Caenorhabditis elegans: one gene and its partner. The protein of the gene in region 1 purifies or fractionates together with the protein of each later gene. This does not show direct contact. Each region holds a gene or a part of one and is shown in the gene's direction. Other genes may lie near its edges.

The links. The genes of interacting proteins can lie anywhere in the genome.
Region 2: the proteins of rpl-36 (region 1) and rpl-13 purify together in Caenorhabditis elegans (affinity purification with mass spectrometry; 2 studies listed by BioGRID, with this or other methods). This does not show direct contact.

Annotation. Positions count from the first base shown.
Region 1 is NC_003281.10:7,176,369-7,183,898, forward strand, and holds rpl-36 (Large ribosomal subunit protein eL36), read left to right. Parts: upstream 1-3,882; 5' UTR 3,883-3,883; coding exon 3,884-4,003; intron 4,004-4,053; coding exon 4,054-4,248; 3' UTR 4,249-4,279; downstream 4,280-7,530. Other genes in the region: rps-14 (Small ribosomal subunit protein uS11), read right to left, coding at 2,662-2,856, 2,905-3,020, 3,064-3,211; ndab-2 (Acyl carrier protein), read left to right, coding at 4,394-4,524, 4,725-4,785, 4,831-4,950, 5,286-5,411; epg-4 (Ectopic P granules protein 4), read left to right, coding at 5,938-6,006, 6,197-6,351, 6,397-6,636, 6,687-6,830, 7,060-7,249, 7,299-7,448.
Region 2 is NC_003279.8:3,784,347-3,792,166, forward strand, and holds rpl-13 (Large ribosomal subunit protein eL13), read left to right. Parts: upstream 1-3,689; 5' UTR 3,690-3,695; coding exon 3,696-3,862; intron 3,863-3,906; coding exon 3,907-4,072; intron 4,073-4,122; coding exon 4,123-4,209; intron 4,210-4,312; coding exon 4,313-4,516; 3' UTR 4,517-4,550; downstream 4,551-7,820. Other genes in the region: tppp-1 (Tubulin polymerization-promoting protein homolog), read left to right, coding at 2,248-2,297, 2,448-2,594, 2,646-2,893, 2,938-3,035; ptr-2 (SSD domain-containing protein), read right to left, coding at 5,068-5,235, 5,282-5,416, 5,462-6,706, 7,037-7,137, 7,189-7,811. UniProt on the Caenorhabditis elegans protein: Component of the ribosome, a large ribonucleoprotein complex responsible for the synthesis of proteins in the cell.

The DNA of each region.
Region 1 (7,530 bases):
TAACCTGCATGATTTATTCCAATTAAAATGAAAAATCAATTTCAAAACAAACTGTCATTAGAGCCCCTCTTGCAGCTGATAAATTTATTGGATCATCAATCAATAATCCACCAAAATATCTCGATAGAATAGTAAGTGTTGTATATGTTCCAAAAAAGATAACATGAACAAATATTACAGAAATTGCAAATTTCGTTGATAAGTATACTTCCTCCAATTGATATCTTGCGGCCAGTGTCGAATTTGTTCTTAAAAAAACTGAAATTAAAAATAATATGTTGTATATTTCCAGATGATTGCCACGTATAACTTTATTATTGGAGTAGTTGCTGTCTATTTGTACAAACGAATTCGAACTAAAAAATCTGTTGAAATTATTGGAAAAATTGAAATGCAAGCGACTGGGAATGCGGGAGCCCAAAACTACGATAATGTCATTTTCAGTATTTGGAATTCAGCTTCTAGTTTAACATCAAGGCCTACTCCAATTGTTTAATTAATTCAATTATTAACAAATAAACAATAACTTCTTTACATTCTTCCGAATACGACAATACGGCTGAATACGGCACCGGTCTCACTAGAAGCAAAATATTTTTGAAAAATAGGCTCTGCAATCACGTGGTGTCAGAATGTCCTATTTCGTTGTGATCTACAAAAATGCGGGAATTTATGCGCAGGCTTCTCAACTGATTTCGCATAGTTAAGAACGTGCTGACATCACATTTTTTGGGGAAAAAATTCTCGCATTTTTTGTAGATCAAACCGTTGTGGTACAACCTGACACCACGTGTGCAAAACGGTATGCACCTTTAAGAAGTACAGTAATCATCGTTAATTGTGTACTTATGTAGGCTTTCAGATAATATTGTCGTTTTTTTATGTGTTTCAGTGTTTCACGAAAAACAATTTATAAAGATATCGTCAGTAGGAGAATTACTAAATAAAAAACCACCATGGAGCACCAACGGGATAGATTTTTTCACATTTTCGTTTTAAGAAATTGAATTTCGAACAATAAAAAGTTAATCTATCAATTCTAGTCATTCATTTCAACTTTCGGAGAATAAAACTAAAATTTCTGAGATTTATTATGATTGTATTTGTACGAATATATAAGAAGGTTGGAGCTTCAAGTTTCATGTTGATACGATTTCATAAATGAATGAATCTTCTACAAATATTCCACTGGCATGTATTACGGTTGTCTATTATTAATGGAATTTATGATAAATATTTGAATTTTCAGGCGTATGAGCTGTCGTTTCATCCAGTTTATAGAAATTTTCAAATATATCAGTTGATTATGCTTTTTTCTTCCTTATTTCCGTTAACTTACTTTATTTTATTCCAGCTTCTGAAATCCAGTTTTCATGGAAATCTCAAGGTATTTGAATTTATCTTCAATTATTTAAAATTTTCATTTTCTGAGTCTTCTTGTTGGTTATTTTGGAGCAATTCTCGTGTTCAGTGTGGTATTCCTTGTTGAAGCTGTAGGTTCCTATCAATTGACTTTAATTCCTTCTATCGTTTATAGTTTATCCAAGTGTTACTTCCATTCATATCAGAGCAAAAGTGCGACTTATTAATCCAACCTAAATACTACAAGCTTGGCAACCTTTTGGGATGTCTTCTTATGACAATTCCTACATTTTTCCCAATTTCAATAACTTTTGAACGACTAATTGCTACAAAAATGGCTGATGATTACGAAAAAACTCGTGTATTTTTGGGACCTATTCTTGCCATCTTTTTGGTACTACTAGATTTATTTCTCATTTTACTCATCTACAAGGAAGCAATTGTCACAGGAGGTTCAATATCGTTTGTATTCATTCCGGCATCAATAGCTTCAAAAGTTGCAAAAATTGAAAAATTGTGAAAAAAATTTTTTTTCAGATGTACATGTTTTTTATTATGATGCTGATTTTAAATTCGTTCAATTTTTTCTTCAGCTTCTTGTTGCTTCGAAGAAACGCACAATTGAAAAAGTTGAAATTTTTTTTTTTTCATAACATTTAGAATTTTTTTTTTTTCATAACATTTAGAAGTCCAATTCAACACTAGCTGCAAAATTCCAATTGGAAGAAGTTTATTCTTCGACTAAATTTTCCATTTCGGTTATATTCGTGCATGTAACATTTTTTGGGAGTTACACGACTATCACTATTTTGTTAAGATATTTCGGAAGTTATTTTTTCAGTGATCCAATAGATTTAGGGGCAGTCCGCGGAGCTTTCATGACGGTATTTCATTTAATTACAGCTTATAGAAGTTCAACTTGTTCCAGATGATTTCATCGTACAATTTTGCAGTTGGAGTAGCATCAGTATACTTTAACTACATATATCGAATAAAGAAAATTATCGAGATCAAAGGAAATATCAGAATAGTGGCAACTGGCCAGGCAGGTGCTATTAACTACGACAAGGCTATCTTCAATATTTGGAATTCTACTTCTTCAACAAATAATACCAGTTATTGATAAATTCTCGAAGCAAGCATTTTAAACGTAGCTGAGCCTTCGATCTGAACAAACTCCCAGCCAGAGCATACTTAACTATATTATCGACTAAACGTTTTTCGGTCTACGCCATTTTCAGTGTGTAACGCAAATAAATTCTTTTGAACAATGTATTCTTTCGAATAACAAGTAACAACTTAGAGACGACGTCCACGGCGACCTCCCTTTCTTCTGGTGCAGTCGGATGGGATTGGGGTAACGTCTTCGATTCTTCCAATCTTCATTCCAGCGCGAGCGAGGGCACGAAGAGCAGACTGAGCTCCTGGTCCTGGGGTCTTGGTTCTGGTTCCTCCAGTAGCACGAAGCTTGATGTGAAGAGCGTTGATTCCGAGCTGAAAACATTAACTTATTGCAGTAGCATTGATAAAAATTTAACTCACTTGTTTGCAACGATCAGCGACGTCTTGAGCGGCGAGCATAGCAGCGTATGGCGATGACTCGTCACGATCGGCCTTGACCTTCATTCCTCCGGTAACTCGAACGATGGTTTCACGTCCTAAAATTATTTGATAATTTTTGTTTCAAAATTATAATTTTACCTGAGATATCGGTGATGTGGACGAAAGTGTCGTTGAACGAAGCAAAGATGTGAGCGACTCCGAAGATGAGCTCTCCTTCTTTGGCCTGTGGTCCAAGGGACACGACAGCCTGTTCCTCCTTAGCCTTTCCCTTACGAGCGGGAGCCATTATCCAAGACTAAAATTGAATTCCTTGATTAAATATTTTACTAACTATGGCAATGAGGACAACGGAGAAAAAAAAATTTATGATAAGCCGAGTAAAAATTATATATAATTAATAAAATACGTCTTGTAAAATTTATTCTCATTGATTTTTAAAGAAATTCTCAACATTTCACCATAAAAACGTTTTAAAAATCGAAAAAGAAAATCGAAAAATACGATTTACACAGAAAATGTTTTGGCTGCGTATCATTTCCATGGAAAAAGTCGCTACGCAGCCAATGGTCTCACCACGATTTTCCATTTTCTCTTGTTTCGCCCCGCCGACGATAATAGGATGCTGGTTTTTTCGATTTTTTCACGATTTTTACAGGAATTTCTTGTTAAAATTTCGTCTAAAAACACCAAATTAAATTGGTTAAACTATTTTACACTGAAAAATCACACTATATGGGTGTTTTCACGTCTCACATATTGATTTTTGAGAGATCTTCTTTCAAGGCCAAATTGGGCATCAATTCGATAAATTTCCAAAGTTTTTTACCTATATATGCGGCAAATTTGTGATTTTTTATTTAATTTGTACCAATAGGATATATGTTCGCTAGTTTATTTCTCGTAACTTAATCGCAACTCTAATCGTATTCCTAAACTAATTATTTTGTATAATTTCAGGATGAGCGGACCAGGAATTGAAGGTTTGGCCGTCGGTCTCAACAAGGGACATGCTGCTACCCAACTTCCAGTTAAGCAGCGTCAAAACAGACACAAGGGAGTCGCCTCCAAGAAGACCAAGGTTTGTTATTATCCAATTTTTCGGATTAAAATATTTATTAAAGTTTTTAGATCGTCCGAGAGCTCGTTCGTGAGATCACCGGATTCGCTCCATACGAGCGTCGCGTTCTGGAAATGCTTCGTATCTCCAAGGACAAGCGCGCCCTCAAGTTCTTGAAGAGACGCATCGGAACCCACCGTCGTGCTAAGGGAAAGAGAGAGGAACTCCAAAACGTCATCATCGCTCAACGCAAAGCCCACAAATAATTTTGTTGCTGTTGATAAATTGTTGTTATCCAAAATCTCGTTTTTTCTTGTTCTGACTTTGAAAGAATGCGTGGATTCGCCTCAATTACTTGAGGATAGATAGTTATGGATTATGAAAGAACCTCATTCTTTTAGAAGGGTTAAAATGTTTGGTCGTCAAGTTGGACGCGTCGTTTTCAGAACTGCCTCGGTGGTAGTTCAACGGAGATCTGTGTCAGCTTCGGTGCCGCAAATGGTCAAGCTCGTGGCTCCATCTGTAAATTTCATTCAAACTAGGTAACATTCTTCAGGAAATTTTGTGGTGCTAAAAATCAAGGCAAATGCTTATTTGTAGAAGAAGGTTTTTTGAGGAAAATAAGTGAAAAAGAGAACTACCTTTTAAATCAAACTGAGTAACGATAAAACAATTTCCACATTAAAGTTTTGATTTTTGGAGTTCAGACATACTCTTTAGAAAAAAAGGTCGGTATTTTCAGGGGAAGCAAAATTGAAGTCTTCGGACCATTCGACCCCCCAAAGCAACTCACATTCAAACAGGTAGCTGAAACAAACGGAAGACTTTTTCAGGCCGTATATTTTCAGGTTGAAGATCGTGTTTTGAAAGCAGTTCGCTCATGGGATCGTTTCCCAGCAGACAAGGAGTCACTTTTGAAGCTTGATGCTGATTTGAGCAAAGATTTTGGATTTGATTCTCTGGATCAGGTAATTTCAATTTCAAAATGACATTAAAACATCTGCTTTACCGGCATATGGAAAGTGACATTTTCAGCTCGGTCCGAAATGGAGAATTATTCCGTACCAGAAATATAGATTTATTTGTGCTTTTTGAAGTCAACTTGGCTTTAAATTAAAATTTTTGAAAAGTGGAAAATAAAGTTATCATCAGAATGTACAAATATTTCTATTTTAGTTTCTGAAAAAAATATCGACGATGAGAAAATGGGTATTGTAAAATGTGTCGCACATCTCCTCCTCACGTTAAATTTAAATTACAAAGTAAATTTTTTTTTTTTTAATTGAAAATTGTTTTGTTTCAGGTCGAAATTGTGATGGCACTGGAAGACGAATTCGGATTCGAGATCCCACTTCAGGATTCCGATAAGTTCAAGACCATTCGCGATGCATTCAAGTACATTTGCGAGCGTGAGGATGTATACGAGTAGATAAATGACAGGATTCAACAATTTTTTTTTGTATTTTTGTGTGTAACTAAACATTTCAATTTTATCCATTTTTGTCCCATTTGTCGTCATTTCACAAACCCTTTACTAGGAGAATTTTACGCCGATAAATTAGTTGATTTCTTTCATAATGCTCATCTATTTCCTGAGGAAATTTCCTCAGGACACCCCATGACTGGTAGCAAATTCGCTCCAATGTATTGCGTTCTGCTGCGTCTACACAAAGTGGACGCTCGATAGGAATTGCGTTGTGCAGATGATCAGGTCAATGAAAAATCATGTGTTTCTTTTTTTGTAACCAGCATTACAACGAATTTCGTTAAAAAATATTCTCTTCGTTTCTTAGATTCTATAAGTCATTATTTTCAGAATTTCTCCATTTTTCCGGTGCAATTTCTAGGTTAGTAAAAACAATTGCAGCGTAGAAATATAGTTTTTAATTCAGATATTCACCAATCAATAATCAAGTCACACATACCAAGAAGTTAGTTTAAACAAGAGTCCAAAAATGGTCAAATTTCAAATAATAGCTCGAGATTTTTACCATGGATTTATTGATTCATTTAAAGGAATCACTGTGAGTATTTAAAACTTTAAAAAGTTTTTATTTATGGGATTATTCAAGTAATGTAGCGAAATGTATTTAAATACATGTTTTTTATGTATTTTAATACAGTTGTGACGTAATTTTTCTACACTTTTTAATTTTCCGACACTACTTGAATAACCCCATTAGTAACGAATAGTTTAAATATTCTTGATTTCAGTTTGTTCGGCGTATTCGTGAAGAAGAAGCGAAAGAAGTAAAAGTAGAACCACCGAAGCCAGTTGAACGAACAGTTTTAATGATGAGACGAGAAAAACAAGGAATTTTCAAAAGACCTCCTGAACCACCGAAGAAGAAAGATAGCTTTTTGAAAAAGTATTTTATACTTACATGTTAAAAACTGAATAAATTTTATTTCAGACTCTGGCAAATCTATGCTATGAATATCGGTTTCTTGGTTCTGTGGCAGGTCTGTATATTGATTCTTGGTCTATTCTTCAGCTTTTTCGATCGAACTGATTTGGGTCACAATATCGGCTACATTCTGATTATTCCCATCTTTTTTGCTTCTCGAATCATTCAGGCACTTTGGTTCTCAGATATTTCAGGAGCCTGTATGAGAGCTCTAAAATTGCCACCACCACCTGTCGTTCCTTTTAGGTTAGTTTATTTAATAATTATTTCAAAAAAATAAAACTAAAAAATTTCAGTTCTATGTTAGCGGGAACTCTCATTTCTGCGCTCCATCAAATTTTTTTCCTCATTCAAGGAATGCTTTCGCAATATCTTCCAATTCCTCTTATCACACCAGTTATCGTTTATCTTCATATGGCTCTACTTAACTCAATGTACTGGTAAGTTTTAAACATTTTTTTTACTAAAAATAAATCAAAGTTTCGATAAATTAAATTTTTGCCAATCAGTCAATTTAATGCTTTCTCAGCACCTCTCCAATGGAATGTATCAAAAATTGAAAATAGAAAAACAACAGAACCACCAATATCGCCAAAATTTCTAAAATAAGAATGGTAAAAAAGATTTAGCTGAAACTTTGAAAATCAAATAATATTAATAATATTTCAGTTTCGATTACTTCTTCGACGGTTACAACCTTTCATTCCTTCGACGCAAAGATATTTTCGAATCACACTGGCCGTACTTCCTTGGTTTTGGAACTCCCCTGGCACTTGCTTGCTCAATCAGCAGTAATATGTTTGTGAACAGTGTCATTTTTGCACTTCTCTTCCCATTTTTCATCATCACCAGCTATCCGGTTCGAAATTAATTTTAAATTTAAAAATTGAAAATTTTGATAGTTTCAGGCAAATTGGAATAGAAAATACGAAGAGGAAATTCCGAAAATTGCATTCTGCCGTATTTCATACATGTTCACTGAACTTGTTGGAAAATTCGTCAAAAGCATTACACCAACCAATAATCCAACTGCTGCTCGAAATAACGCTCAAAATTAGATGTAAAATATGTTCAAAAGGGTTCAAATTCTCGTGCCATTTATTTTTAACTTTTTTCGTTATCTTTTTCCCAAATGTGCCA
Region 2 (7,820 bases), on another chromosome or scaffold:
TACGATTCCATCGCTCTCTTTTTTTGCATTACATTCCAGGCCGTCATCTCCGTTATACTACGTTTTTTCTTGTTTTCTCGGTCGTCGTAGAGGCTTCGAATTTTCTGTGTTCATCAGTTCGCCGTGCTTTTCTCGCTTATCAAATTTTCACATGTTGACACACCCTTCTTACTCGGTTTTTTGTTTGGGAGAAATATTGACTTTTTTCAACTTTTTTTCTTCAAACTCGTGTTGCCGTAAGAAAATCTAGGCTTGATGGTTAAAATTTCTACAGTAATCTGGCGAGCGCTGTGAAACCCGCGTTTGAAACGATGTGCGTCTTGAATGCGTACAGTAGGATAATGTTTTTGTTTTTGACATTTTTTCATCCAAAATTTTGGCCAAAACGCTATTTTCTCCATAAAAATCGCTTTAATTTCACAATTTTCAAGTTTTTTACTGTTAATTATTCTGAAACGATAAAAACTTGCGAAATTGAATGTGTTTTCTTAATTTTCTTAGTTTTTTCGCACTTCTAGGATTTTCAGATTTTTTCTAGGATTTTTTCAGAGTTTTTCCAAGAATTTTTAGAGATTTTTTTTCAGAAGCAACACTCTTTTAAACTGAAAACATAGGGATCCTCATGACGTTTCCACGAAAAATCCCCAAGTTTTTGGACGCCATCATTCTTTCTCATTTATTAAAAAAAAGTATACACAAATATTTATTAAATTTAGTTTGAATCAGAAAAATATTCAAACTCTACGTTTTTCCGTTGCCCAAAACGAGTTCATTAACGTATTCCGTACATGTGTAGATCCTTAGTTGTACAGCAGAGTTCAAATCCCCTATTTCTTCCAAAAGCACACACACAATGTAGATATCAAGTTTCGAGTTGACTGCTGCTTCTGCGCGAGAAAGAAGACGTCCAAAACAGGGAGGCTGTCAATTATGGATAGAGATCGTGGAGACGCAGGCGTGACCGTCGCTAATCTAGTTCCCATTTCGTCTCTCTCTCCAGTCAGTAAACCCAGCGAATTCTGTCCGTATGCCTCTTGCTGCATCACCAACTCGTCTCATACTCCTACCTCTCTGTTATTTTATTTCATTTTCAAATTTTACCCCCCACTCCCTCCGATGTTTGTTGTCTTGTTTTACTATCTTCCTGCGCACTCTCATGCACACATAGGAGGAGTGGCAGGTGACGAGAGAAACAAGAAAAAGATGGAGGGACAAGGCGCCTCTTTTGAGATTTGAATTTTTCATCCAGCCCGTTTTATGTATGGGAAACAAAATAGTTTAATTCTCTCTTCTCAGTAAGACCTAAACCTAAAAGCTATAGCTTTCTCTTTTTTATACATTTCCTTTCAACTAATAATTTATCATTCTCAAAGAATGGAATATTGGAAACTGCGTTAATTGCCTAATAAAGAACGCCATCAATAACAGATTCCGCACCCAAACAATTAGTGAAAGCTCCACCCATTTCTGTCCTTTTTCCGTTTACTTCAGTTCTCAAATGTTTTGAAAAAAGTTTTCAAAACAAAACAGTTCATATTGCATTCATGAATTCCCATCGGCGCCACTCAATTTCGCAATTTGCGCAGTGAGAGTTTCCGTGAAAAGTTATATTTCGAGAATTTCGCAATACTCTTTTCTTTTTATGTATTTCTCAGCCACAAAGAGCATGTCCTACTGATGATTTATCCGGTGTAAGAGAGGTCGAAATACGCGATTGAAAAGAGGAAGAGAGAAGTTTTTTTCTCATTTCATTAAAGAACGCCGTTTGCCCTATCTCTCTTCACTTTCTCACCCGTTTCCTGCTAGTTCAAAACTTCACTAATCACCGTCCGAATCTCTTTGGCTCGTTATGCTTTTCAACTGACGGACGGCGCAATTAGGGAACAACGTTGGCGTTGCGCGAAGAATGAATAGATAATAATCTTGGCTCTCGCCCCATTGTGCTCTTTCTACTCCACACTCAGCTTCTGCCAATTCCTTCCGACACATGGGCTTTTATACTTCTTCTTCCTCAAATTGCTAAACAAAGTCAGAAATCGAGTGCAGATATTGCCGCCACGTGATTCTCTTAATTCTCTTATGCTCGATAGAGCTCCACCTATTTTTGATTTATGCTCTCCTCTCACGCAGTTTTCTCAACTCTCTTTGAATATTTCCATGTTTCCATGGTTGCCATCGAGTGCTCATTCTTTTCCGGTCGTTATTCCTATTTTCACTATACAAACACCTTTTATTTTTCAGAAAATCATGGCCGCTGCTGCTGGATTCAACTGGGATGATGCTGATGTGAAGAAAAGGTAAATTATTTGGATTTTAAATTATAAACTTTGCAAGAAGTCCAGTAGTTTACCGATTTCAATTTTGGTAACCAGAAAAAAATTAACAAAACATTGTTTTTCACACAGTTTCGAGTTAGAATTTCGCATCAAAACCTTTTAATTTTCTAGATGGGACGCGTTCACCAAATTCGGAGCTGCTACCGCCACCGAAATGACTGGAAAGAACTTCGACAAGTGGCTTAAGGATGCTGGTGTCCTCGACAACAAAGCCATCACCGGGACAATGACCGGAATCGCTTTCAGCAAAGTTACTGGGTGGGTTGAACTTTACTGTCTGCATCGAATTAACTAAAAAATTTATTATAGACCTAAAAAGAAGGCCACTTTCGACGAAACGAAGAAAGTGCTGGCATTTGTCGCCGAGGATCGCGCGAGACAAAGTAAGAAGCCGATTCAGGACGAACTGGACGCAATCACAGAGAAATTGGCCAAATTGGAAGCGCCGAGTGTTGGAGGTGCGGCGAAGGCCAATGCGGCCGGCGTTTACAGCCGTCTCACCGATCACACAAAGTATACTGGAGCCCATAAAGAAAGATTCGATGCCGAAGGAAAAGGTATTTGTAGAAAATGAATTCACGAAAGAAATATGTAATTTCAGGAAAAGGAAAATCAGGACGTGCGGATACAACAGAAAATACTGGATATGTTGGAGCTTACAAGAATAAAGATTCCTACGATAAAACACATGGAAAGTAATCAAAGATCTCTCTATGGACCAAATAAATGCACTTCTTTTTCTTTTCGTTTTGTCTATATTCTCGAATGTATAATTCCCAGTAATATCTTTGTATTAATAAATTTATTTATTTAACTTTTTTTAATCTAAAATTCAAAAGCAAATAATTTCAGTAATTTTTTGAATTAAATTAATTCCACTTTCTAGTTTTTAGAGATGATAAAGTAGTTTGAAGTTATGTACCATATTAAAAATTATTTTCAGAAAAGTTAAGTTCACTGAAAATACCACTTTCTTATTGATTTAACTATTTTAAATGGAAATATTCAATTTTATAGACTGCGAAACAAATTAGGCACACATTTTGTTCCTGCGTAAATCGACACAAGTACACAGGCAGGTCTCGCAGCGCTTGGCTGCCGCAGCCAATTCGTTGGCTGAGTATTCAACGTTGTAACACTGTGAAGAAGAAACCCATAGAATTTTTCTGAATTTTTTCTTTTCTTTTTTGATTCAATATGCTGATTTTTTAAATTTTCTCCCGGAAATTGTTTTAAAAATATCTATTTAAGCTTTTTTTCGCAATTTTGCGTTGTTATTGAGTTATTTTCTGTATTTCTATCGCAATTTTCATTAGTTTGAACTAAAATCGCAATTTTACTTCTTTTTTTCAGGGTACAATGGCTCCACGTGGAAACCAAATGTTGGGCAATGCCCATTTCCGCAAGCACTGGCACAAGCGCATAAAGACCTGGTTCGACCAGCCAGCTCGCAAACTCCGCAGAAGACAGAACCGTCAAGCTAAGGCTGTCGAAATCGCTCCTCGCCCAGTTGCTGGACTTCTCAGGTTAGATAGAATTAGTCTTTTCATTAAATATAGTTTCATTTCAGATCTGTCGTCCGTTGCCCACAGAAGAGATACAACACCAAGACTCGTCTTGGACGTGGTTTCTCTCTTCAAGAGCTCAAGGCCGCCGGAATCTCCCAGGCTCAGGCCCGCACCATCGGAATCGCCGTTGATGTGAGAAGAACCAACAAGACCGCCGAGGGACTTAAGGTATGTAATAAATTATTTTGCATGAAAATTAAATGTATACAATATTTTAGGCCAACGCCGATCGTCTCAAGGAGTACAAAGCCAAGCTTATCCTCTTCCCGAAGAAGGCTAGCGCACCAAAGAAGGGAGACAGCTCTGTAAGTTTTTTTTTGCATTTAATTAAGTTTGAAAGTATTTTTGAACTTAGTCGATAACAGTTTGTTAAATAATTCCTGCATAATATGAATATTGATTTTTAAGGCTGAGGAGCTCAAGGTTGCCGCCCAACTTCGCGGAGATGTCCTTCCACTTTCCCACACCATCACCTTCGACGAGCCACGCCAAGTTACCGACGCCGAACGCAAGGTCGAGATCTTCAGACTTCTCCGCAAGGAGCGTGCTGACAAGAAATACCGTGGAAAGCGTGAGAAGAGAGCCAGAGAGGCCGCTGAGGAGAATAAGTAAATTGTTGATTTTCTCTGTTCATAAACTTGTTATGAAAGTTAACAGTGACTTACCAACGAACAAACGAAATGCAAATAATATTCTAAAATACAATACGTCTAGTTTAAGTTTTTATTTGAAAACTTATGGTCAAAAGTGAAACATCAGAACGGGAAAGTTGATTTTGAGTTTCCGATTGTAAATCTTAAAAATTCTGTCGCTTACTATTAGTTTAGGTTTTCATTGTGATTTTATTCGCTACTTGAAAAATATTAAAGTTTAATTTCAAGAAACGCATATTAATCCTCAGCTTTTGGTAAAAATTTGTAGCACTGAGAAATAGGTGGCTGTTGGCTTAAATATCCAATTATCCGTTTTCTTATTTTTGACCGATTTGTTCTAAAAATGTCTCCTTCCCATTCTAGACTCACTGATAATGTTTCGAGAGTTAATAATATTTAAAATTTCAATTAAGATATTCATTCACATATATTTAAAAACAACGTAGAACATTCACAATATTCTACAAATACACGTATTCAATTAGTTAATGAGAGTCATTGGAAGAAAGACTAGTCTAGGTGCTCGGATTTAATAGAATTCTTTGATCTGTTGTGTACAGTTGGAGATTCATCGGTGTACTCAAGCCTATGCGGGAAGCTGATTGGTGACGAGGCGCGGAGCGGAGCAACGGTTCGCAAATCGAGTGGACTAGACGAGATAGCGGCGATCCTGATTTGCTGAAATATGGGAAAATGAGAATGTAGTGATAATTTCAGATCAAACCTTTTCGATTTTTTGAGCGCTGGGATGACCATGCGGTGAGCTAGGGATTATGCAACATCCACGTACGAATATTGAGAGCAATACTGGAAGGAAAACAAGACCATGGAGAAGACCGAGAGAAATTGAGAGAACGACCTGAAAATAGAAAAGTTAAAGAATAAAAAAATTGAAAAGAATTACCGTTTTGAAAAAAGTAACTATCATATATGCTGGAATATCGGCAAGAACTGAAACCGCGATAATTGTAGACATAGCTCCCTGAGACAGTGGCCATCCAAGAGCTGATAGTGCTTCTTTCACTCTACCAGCTGCTGTATCTTCTCTGGATACGACATAGCCATATGCAATGTGTGCAGAATAATCGACGGAGAACCCAATTGACATGATAATTGTGATCATTGATATAGCATCCAGATTCACTCCCCATAGCGTCATGTATCCAATCACTCCAAAATCGATGGAAGCACAAGCGAGAGCCACCCAAAGTGAGCACATTGGCTGTGGAATGAAGAGAACGGCAATGACGATCATCACCAAAAGTGCAATAATAATGTTTTGAACAGTGTTCGGAATAATTATAATGTACTGATCAGTGAACATCCATATTGGCATAAAAGTGGTCACATTGAACTCCGGCCATCGAGCAGCGACCTCTCTAAATGACATTGTAGCGTCGGTTTGGTCCATTGTTGTCACTAAATCCTTCATTCCTAGAATAAACCGGAAGCTTTTGACCATCGTTCCATTATCATCATCAGGCATTGGTCCCCAGTAGATATCCTCTGCCAATGGATTATTGGTTTTGGAAGCTAGGAAATGGTGAAGAAGGCCATAAAATGAGGAATCAATAATTTGAACTTCCAACTCTTTTTGATAATATCTCTCCATTTCGAATAACCAAAACTGCACAGATTCCATTCCAATCGCATGCTTACTTGTCGCAAAGTCAAGCACCATTGCATGAACTCGATCACGAGATGTATGATTTCTAAGATCGGGAGCATTATTTATCACAATTTGCACTTGTTGTCCGTATTTCCAAAAATATTTCTCTAAAAGTCGATAATGTGGAATAGCATACGAGTCCTCAACCAATAAATTAACTGGCTCCAATCCTTCCTTGATACGAGAGCATCCATAGCTGGCGCCGAGCAGATAGATCACAAACCAAACCATTGCAATTCCACGAACCACAGGATGCATCAGAACTGGAGCATACCATTCTCCGAAGAAACGAGAGGTCAGTGGTTGTTTGACATCGTGTGATGCAGAATGATCGGGCACACTTCCGAGATTGAATAATCGTTGGAATGTGCTCAGGGATGTCTTCTTTTCGGCAGATACAGCTTCGATGAGAAAGAGGGAATTTCGGCCGGATGCTTCGTGTTTCATAGCCAGTGCTAGGCATGCGGCAAAGAATGTGATCTGAAAACAGCGATTATTATTGAGACGCAAAATTTTGGTCCTGAAAAAAACGATTTTTGTGTGTTAGCAGAAATTCGCCACGTGGAAATATTACCCGGACGCGAAATTTTGCGAATTTGGTGCCAGGTCTCACCACGACAATTTTTGTCTTCAAATTCAAAAACATGCACTTCTTTAAAGATAACTTTTTTCATTTTTTTTTCAAATTTTTGTGATTTTATTCATTAATTCTGCTATTTTCTAATGGTTTAAATGAGTTTTTTGACGAAATGTGTCGAGACCGGGTACTGTATTTTCGGAACAAAAATCGAATCTTGGTATTATAAGCACCTGATATATAAATGCAAAGAAAATTGCGACTCCAGTGTATACACAGAATATTTGAACGGCTGGAATAGTTGTGATGGCGCCGACTCCAAAGGAAAGAACATCTGAAAAAATATTAAGATTGTGAATAAATATTCAATTTCAATTAGGGCTACCTGTGCTAGACGTGATAAGAATCGAAACTGCAGCATCTGCCAAACATTCTCCCATTCGTTCGTGCACTGTATGCGTTCTAGACGTTCGTCTCACAGCTGCTACCATCAAAAACATATTATCAACTCCAACAGCGAGCACGAGGAATGGCATGACACCAACAATGTCATTGTATGGCATTCCCATCAATGACAAGAATCCGACGCCAGTGAGAATAGCGATTCCAGCACTGACCACTCCGAGAATGGAAAGAATCGGTTTAGAGAGAACCCAATCGATTGAGAACGATCCGTCGATGAAGCTCAGCGAGCAAAGTGTTGAGAAAACGATGAGAAGGGTGATGGAGATTATGAAGCGAGGAATCAGTGTATCCGCATTTCTCTTAAGCTCATCTGCTAGAGTTTGAGAGTGGAAGTAGGTGATAGAGATGTATGGATCTTCTGGATACTGGGTGAGCATTCTGCCGAGTTCTAGCTCCCATTCTCCCGAAATATAGCTCATTTCTTCTGGGTGAAACTTCAGATGATAGATCATGAACCAGGCTTTCGCTGATGCAAGGATATCTGTCTCATTTTCTCCTTTCATTACAGTGACGCCTCCGAGACTGCTTCCGATATATCCTCCTCTGGAAAAT